Cricetulus griseus: one gene and its partner. Each later gene encodes a partner of the first gene's protein in a complex. Links are inferred from orthologs where the notes say so. Each region holds a gene or a part of one and is shown on either strand. Other genes may lie near its edges. The genes, in order: Tnfsf13b and Tnfrsf13c.

Region 1 (3,634 bases):
TCCACCTCAGGGGCCGCACCATTCTTGGGAAATCACTCCAAGGAGGGAGTGCACACAGACATAGGCTGAGGAGGAAGAAGATTCGTCATGTGTCTGTATCTATCTGCCCATGTCCAGCACCACCGCCTCCCTGCCCGCTTCCTCCCAGCCACCCCAGCATCTTCCTCAGCCCCATCTATGTGTGGTAGTGCTGTACTTGAGGAGGTAATTTAATGACTTTTACTCACTGTGACTTGAATTCACAGTGACATCTGCTTTGTTTTACTGCTGATGTTTTGCAATTCCTTTAACATATTTGGAAAATACGTGGTTCTTGTTTAGTCTTCTTCTGGTGAGGGCCTTATTTGAATTGGGTATATAAATTAGTGCACCCATTGTACAAAAATATATAGAGTCCCCTCCCCCAAGTTAAAAGTAGAACTGCAGTGTGATTTAGCAACCCCACTTCTGGGTTTATAGATAAAGAAAACTAAATCAAAGAGACACCCATTCTCCCAAGTTCATTGCAGTACCTATCACAGCAGCCAAGAAATCAACCCGATGCCCATCAACAGGGGAATGGGTAATGGTGACTCAGGGCATGAAGCAATGACTACCATGTGGCCGTAGAATGGAAGGGTATCCCGTCCTTTGTCACAGCGTGGATGAACCTGTGAGACAGAGACACAGTGATGTAAACGTGAATGGGGTTCTCTTCACCTCTTTAGGACTCACCTGATTGGCCCTTGAATCCTCCTCTCCGCCCTTTGGTTGACAGAGGTGATGCTTTAAAAGAGGCTCACTATTTCTCACTGTACCAGAATGCTCTGGCATCTTTACACTCACACCACAGCGCTGCTTACTATGGTGTCCTCACTGTGCCATGACCCTGGTCCTCTGCCAGTTGCTTTCCTTCAGTCTTCTTTATATCTCTTCTCATTGTCTAGCTTTGAGGTTTAACCTAAAGCCAATGTTTTCATACTGCAACTGTGCACACTCCGGCGTGAGTAAGCTTTTTCTTAGGAAATGTGTGCTTGCAGATCTCCCTGAGATCTAGGCAACATCTGCTGTATTGTTTGGCTTGGTTCCCTCTGCTGCTCTCTCTGCCCTCTCTGTCTTCCTTCAATACAGGCTGGAGCACAGTGTCTTCCTGTCACTCTGGATAGGAAATGCAGACAGCGATGGAGACATAGCCTGTACTGTGAAGTGCTCAGAACCCATCATAGCCAATGTTGTACTCCTGGTACATGGGTTCTGAGCACTTCCAAGTACAGGGTATGTCTCCGTTGCTGACCGAACTTCCTAGTTGTGTTCTGCTGCCAGATTTACTTCCTCCAGACACATTTTGTTGATTTCTTCACCTGATTACTCAGAAGATAGAAGAAGATACTCTTGAGTGTGCTGTGCAGGGGAGCATCCAATTCTCTCTTTCTGGCTTTCCCACCCAAACCAACTTTAATAAGGAAATAGCCAATATACAAAACAAGGAAAGAAACCCAAACATTCCTGTGGAGTGAAGTCTGTTAGGCACCAAGGTTACCCATGCTAAAATATGTAATAGCACAATGAAGATTTTCTTCTTCTTCTTCTTCTTCTTCTTCTTCTTCTTCTTCTTCTTCTTCTTCTTCTTCTTTTTCTTCTTCTTCTTCTTCTTCCTCTTCCTCCTCCTCTTCCTCCTCCTCCTCCTTCTCCTTCTCCTCCTCCTTCTTCTCCTTCTTCTATTTCCCTTCTTGGTGGAAGGGAAAACTGCTTTTCTCAGTTTGCTTTCTTATGAGATATTATCTCTACTACAGGATCCTACACATTTGTTCCATGGCTTCTCAGCTTTAAAAGAGGAAGCGCCTTGGAGGAAAAAGAGAACAAAATCGTGGTGAAGCAAACGGGTTACTTCTTCATCTACAGCCAGGTAGTGTCAGACCTTTCCTCATCTTTCCTGGTCCAGTGCTTCCACAGTCTTGCATATCTGACAACATCTTGGCTTGTTTCTCAGGTTCTATACACAGATACCATTTTTGCCATGGGACATCTTATCCAGAGGAAGAAAGTGCATGTTTTTGGGGACGAGCTCAGTCTGGTGACCCTGTTCCGATGCATTCAGAATATGCCAAGAACACTGCCCAACAATTCCTGCTACTCAGCTGGTATGAAGCTGTCCTAAGACTTGTTTAACAGGATAATGTAGACTGTGCTGGGGAAATCTGATCCCCCCAAAGTGGTTCTTTGTGATCTTAATGGAAAGGCCTTCTTCTGTAGACCATACTGTTTATTTTGCAATAGTTTGTGTTAATTGAGAAAACCAGTGTTGTCACTAATGGTCAAGCCATTTTTATAAAAATTAAGAAGGTGGCTGAAGAGACAGCTAAGCAGAGAAGGGCACTTGCTATTTTTCCAGAGGACCCAGGCTTGATTCCTAGCACCCACATGGCAGCTCACAACTGCTGGGATTTCTAGACCTAGGGCACCTGACACCCTCTCCAGTCACCTTGGGCACTGTACATGCATAGAGCCCATATATCCATGCAGGAAAAATACAAAAACACACATGAAAAATATTTAAATGAAATAATTGTGTTTTAAAAATTAAGAATGAGTGTCACAGGGTTTAACATTGGAGCGATAATTATTTTTCTTCTATCCCGTGACAAAGTATATGATTTTTAGTCCTTCTTATATCATTGTTACACTCTTTAGCCACCTTTCTCTTCTGTGGTGTCCCTTCTTCTTCTAAGCAAGCCCCTCCTGCTTTCCTGTCTTTTTCTGTGTTAGCCCCACTGAGATTAATTATGGTAGCTTCATGAGCATGGGAGGGAGGTTATGGAGCCTGAGCAGCGTTTTAGTAGTTACACTACTGAAGACAATGACAGTTGTCTGCCCCTTCCCCAGAAGCCATGAACTGTCAATAGTCTTCCAGGAGAGGTGTGGGTTCACAAGCCCCTCCCTAATCCCGGAAGCAGAGCTGAGGGTCCCAGTCTTGTTCTGGTGCTGTGCAGGAAACCACAGTTGCAGCAACAGGAACAATGTCTACTCATTGGGAAAATTCTGGTCTTTCTTTTGCTGCTCAGTTATCTGTCTGCTTCACCATCTGCCAGTCATGCTTCCTTACTTTTGTAACATTCCCATGTGAGGGAGAATGCCAGCCACAGAAGTAACATGGCTGCTCCTTAAGTGCCTCAGCCTCAAGTTACAGCACTGCTGTCCCCACAATGTGAGTGTGTAATGGAAACAATGACCCCACTCATCTCTGAGTGCAAGGAAGAGCATATTGCAGAATGCCTGGGTTAGTTCTCATGGGAAAACAGGTGGCCTTGTACACATGACTAGTTGTGAACTCAAAATTGCAAGAGAAGCCTTGCATGTAGCTCAGGGACACAGATGCTCAGGGACACAGATGCGCAGGGAAGACAGACTGTATCAGTTCCAGTCTCTCCACTCTGGAACTGGCAACATTTTACTCATTTTGTTTCAAATTAATAGGCACTGGTATTAGAAAACTGTTTTCCCTATTAGGCATGTGTGTTTCTCTCTACTGGCCTTCACAAACCTATTCAGAACCGGAAGAATGTCTTTAGTCTCAGACAGTTACAGCAAACAGCAATGTGAAAGCCAGGATTGTGAAATACCTCTAAAGTATCTGAAAGGTCTTTACAAACACCCG
Region 2 (3,916 bases), on another chromosome or scaffold:
GGCAGCAGGGTGCTGGGGAGCTTGAAGCAAGCAGAGCTGGAGGGGGTGGGGATCTGCAGATTAGCAAAACCTGTCTCCCTGCAGTTCTTTCCCTGGAGCCCTGTGACCCTGCTTGGTCGTGCTTGTGCCTTGCCCAGGCCCCTGCTCTATCAGGCTTTGGGTCCCCAGTGTTAGTTTCCCACTTGCCCCTCATCAGTTTCTCTCAAACCCTGTCAGTCATACAAACAAGCTCTCTGAAGCTTGGGACATATGTAGCCCCCTTCCCAGGAGTCATGGGCTGCAAAGGGCCTGAGGGAGCTCCCAGCTGGGAGCTCAGGCCTGGAGTCCCCTGGTGGGCCTCAGGGTTAGGGGCTGAGGGATATCTTTAGCAGCTTCAAGGGGAAATGGCATGGGAAAGGCCTGCGATGGTGAAGGGCTGTACACATACATGCTGGGGGACAGACATGGCCACTGCTGTGGGGTGCTGGGATAAAGGAGAGCACCATTGCTGAAGATGGACAGGGTCCAGCTGGAGAATGAGGCCTGGCAGTGAGGAGACATGGAGTGTTTGGGTGTGCGTCTCACTGCCTTGACTCACAAGGGCTCTGTGGCTGCATCCAGAGGCTGCAGCCTTTGGAGAGGCAAGGAGGCTGGTGCTCTAGTACAGGGTAGGGGAAGGTGCAGAGCTGAACACGGAGTGAAAGAATCAAAGCGCGTCACTGGAGATCCTGGGGACTCACACAGAACCCTAGTCAGTCAGTCTCTCGGGGTTCTGGCCCATTGCCTTTCCATCCCCTTGCCTATGGGCCAGCAACTTGAAGGCAGGAAGGTGTAGGCGGCAGGGTAGCTGCAAAGGAGAAGTGGGTGTGGGGAGGTGGGTGTGGGTGTGGGTGTATGGGGAGGTGGAGAAAGGGAAGGAGCACCGAGAGGAGCCAGGGCAGGAGCCAGCCCTTCTTATAGTTGAGAGGCATGAAGGTTAAGACCAGAAGTCTTGGCTGCAACCCTCTGCTCACACCCCCTCTGTCACTACTGAGTTGCTGTTACTCAATCATTGTTAGGGCTATGGAGCCCAGCCTATGCACCAGGCATCTTAACTGTTGTGTCCGATACTGACACTGAAGAAGAGCCTGGGGTTCATGGAAACCCAGGGCCAGCAATCTAGTCCTGGGAGAGGGAAGCCCAGCAGGGCCCAGGTTGGGAAAATTCCCAAGGGCCACACAAAGGAAGCTGCCCTGCAAGGAGATGCTACTTCACAACAGGATGAGGATTACTAGTTACTCAGGCTCCTGCAGCAGACAGGCCATCTCCGGGTATGAAGCAAGAGGGCTGTAATTCAGTCACAATGAAAGAATCCTTCACTTCAGCCAGAGAGGGACGTTTGAGGTCTGGGAGGACAGAAGCAAAATTACTCACATGACACAAATGTTTATTGGGCATTTCCTATGGGCCCCATCGAGCCCATAGACTAAGGAGCTAGACTAAGCCGGCGACAGCAAAGGCTTGTGGGATTCACGTCTGACATGTACAGGTGCTCAACCTCAGCCAAGTATTTTCACTTGTGTCTCTATGGGGGTGGGGTGGAGGCTGTGACAGTCCTTGAATCTCTGCTTGGATGATTACATGGTTAAGAGGAGAGACTTGGGACTAATGATGTAACTCAGCTGTGTAATGTTTGCCTAGCATGCACAAAGCAGCTCTGGGTTCCATCCGGATGGTGTGGTATAAATTTGGCATAATGGAATACACTTGTAATATCAGCTAGCACTAGGGAGGCAGAGGCAGAAGAGGCCCAGGAGCTCAAGGCTATCCTTGGGCTACATAGTAGGTTTGAGGAGTCCATCCTGGGCTATGAGACCCATCAAGTGATAACAAGACCAAGAGGGAAAGGCAGAGGGAATGAGGTGGTACTCACCAATGTAGGCAATGTTAGGCTATACGTCAATGTATTGTTTTTCATAGCTGTTAAATCAAGTTTGTTTGTTTATTTATTTATTTATTTTTGAGAGTTTCTGTGTACTAGCCCTGGCTGTGCTGGAACTTGCTCTGTAGACCAGGCTGTCCCTGAACTCAGAGATCTGCCCGACTCTGCCTCCCAAGTGATGAGATTAAAGTCCTGAGTCACCACTGCTGGGCTAGTTTTGCTTTTGTTGTTGCTGTTGTTTTTTGAGAAAGAGTTTCTCTTTGTAGCCTTGGCTGTCCTGAAACTGTGTTGACCAGGCAGGCCTTGAACTCAGAAATCTGCCTGCCTCTGCCTCTGGAGTAATACTGTGTGTGTGTGTGTGTGTGTGTGTGTGTGTGTGTGTGTCTGTCTGTCTGTCTGTCTGTCTAAGTGTATGTTTGTCCACCATGTGTGTGCAAGAACCTTCAGAGGCCAGAAAAGGGCTTAAGATTCCTGGGAACTGGAGTTGCAGGCAGATGTGAGCCATCATGTGGACACTGGGGACTGAACCCAGGTCCTCTACCTCTAGAGCAATCAGTGCTCTTAACCACTGAGCCATCTCTCCAACCCCAAGTTCATCCTTCCACATAACATTTCTAGCTTACTGAGGAAGAAGCAGTGGAGAGCCACAAAGGGCATAGTCTAGAGGAGGTGGGCTTCTGTGTCTCCCCGGGGCTAGCATATCCTCCAGTGCCACCTTCTCAAGCCAGAAGTTCTTCTGTGTCACTTTTGACTATGAGACTACCAAGAAATTAGTTCCAATTCACTGTAGTGCTTGCACATTTTCCTTCTAACAGATTTTTGCTTTTTAATTTGTTTTTATGGATTTTGTTATTTATAAATCTCTTTATGACAGACAGGATACTGCCATGTTGCCTAGGCTGACCTCAAACTTCAAAGATCAAGCAAGTTTCTTGCCTCTGCCTCTTGAGTAGCTGGGCCTAAACACACATTCCACCAGCCCTGTCCCACGCTATGTTCTCGCCGGCAAGAATCACACAGGACACTCGGATCCTTCTGCAGGAAAGCTTTAATGCATCTTGAGAGAGGAGAGCATAAGCTTACCAGAGCGGAGACCCCGAGCCAAGAATCCCGTCCCCTAATAAAGGCTGGCAGCCCCGCCTGGGACGTGTCACCCTATGAATGGCTTCAGCTCCTCAGGCCATATGAGCCACGGGATAGGCAGAGATCAAAGAAATGGAAATTACCCAGCGCCTGCGAAATAATTTACATTCAGTGCCTGCAGGCACCATCATTGTAATGGAGAATGCAGGGATGGCTCCCTACACAGCCCAACCTACCAGCCCTTAAAAAAAAAAAAAAAAACAACAATTTTCACTTTGAACAATTTGCTATGACTTCAATGCATTCTTTTCTTTCTTTCTCCTCAGTGCTGAGGATTTCACCTATAATGCCAGCACTTGGGGTGGGATGGAGCAGCAGGATTAGGAGTTCAAGGCAAGACTGGTCTACACAAGACTCTTGCTTAAAAAACAACCAAATTTTTATTTTATTATTTGTGTGTATGATGTATGCCTTAGGGTTTCTACTGCTCTAAAGAGACACTATGACCACAGCAACTCTTATAAAGGAAAACATTTAATTGGGGTGGCTTACAGTTTCAGAGGTTTAGTTTATTGTTATCATGGCGGGAAGCAAGGCAGTGTGCAGGCAGACATGGTGCTGGAGAAGGAGCTGAGAGTAGAGAAGCTTCATCTTAATACCACAGGCAACAGGAAGTTGTCAGAGCGTGGCTTGAGCATATGAGACCTCAAAGTCCACCCCCAGTGACACACTTCCTCCAACAAGGCCACACCTCCTGGGCCCATTTTCTTTCAAACCACCACAATGTGTGTGAGTGGAGTCATACATGTGCTACAGTGCGCATGATGCCAAGGGCAACTCTCAGGAGCTCTGGGAGGCACATTCAGGTGTCAGGCTCAGCAAGCAAGTGCCTCTTGCCAGCCTGGACACACACACACAGACACAGACACAGAC

The links.
Region 2: the proteins of Tnfsf13b (region 1) and Tnfrsf13c are in contact, whole or in part, in a crystal structure (PDB 1OQE), measured with the Homo sapiens proteins. The link is inferred for Cricetulus griseus from reciprocal best matches to the Homo sapiens genes TNFSF13B and TNFRSF13C. Residues at the interface, in NP_006564.1 of Homo sapiens: Ser162, Tyr163, Asp203, Thr205, Tyr206, Ala207, Met208, Gly209, His210, Leu211, Thr228, Arg231, Cys232, Ile233, Pro264, Arg265, Glu266, Asn267, Ala268; in NP_443177.1 of Homo sapiens: Asp26, Leu27, Leu28, Val29, Arg30, Val33, Leu37, Leu38, Arg39, Pro41, Arg42.

Annotation. Positions count from the first base shown.
Region 1 is NW_023276807.1:70,487,064-70,490,697, reverse strand, and holds part of Tnfsf13b (tumor necrosis factor ligand superfamily member 13B), read left to right. Parts: intron 1-1,772; coding exon 1,773-1,885; intron 1,886-1,969; coding exon 1,970-2,120; intron 2,121-3,634. UniProt on the Homo sapiens protein: Cytokine that binds to TNFRSF13B/TACI and TNFRSF17/BCMA. TNFSF13/APRIL binds to the same 2 receptors. Together, they form a 2 ligands -2 receptors pathway involved in the stimulation of B- and T-cell function and the regulation of humoral immunity.
Region 2 is NC_048595.1:379,361,614-379,365,529, forward strand, and holds the start of Tnfrsf13c (tumor necrosis factor receptor superfamily member 13C), read right to left. Parts: upstream 2,232-3,916; 5' UTR 1-2,231. UniProt on the Homo sapiens protein: B-cell receptor specific for TNFSF13B/TALL1/BAFF/BLyS. Promotes the survival of mature B-cells and the B-cell response.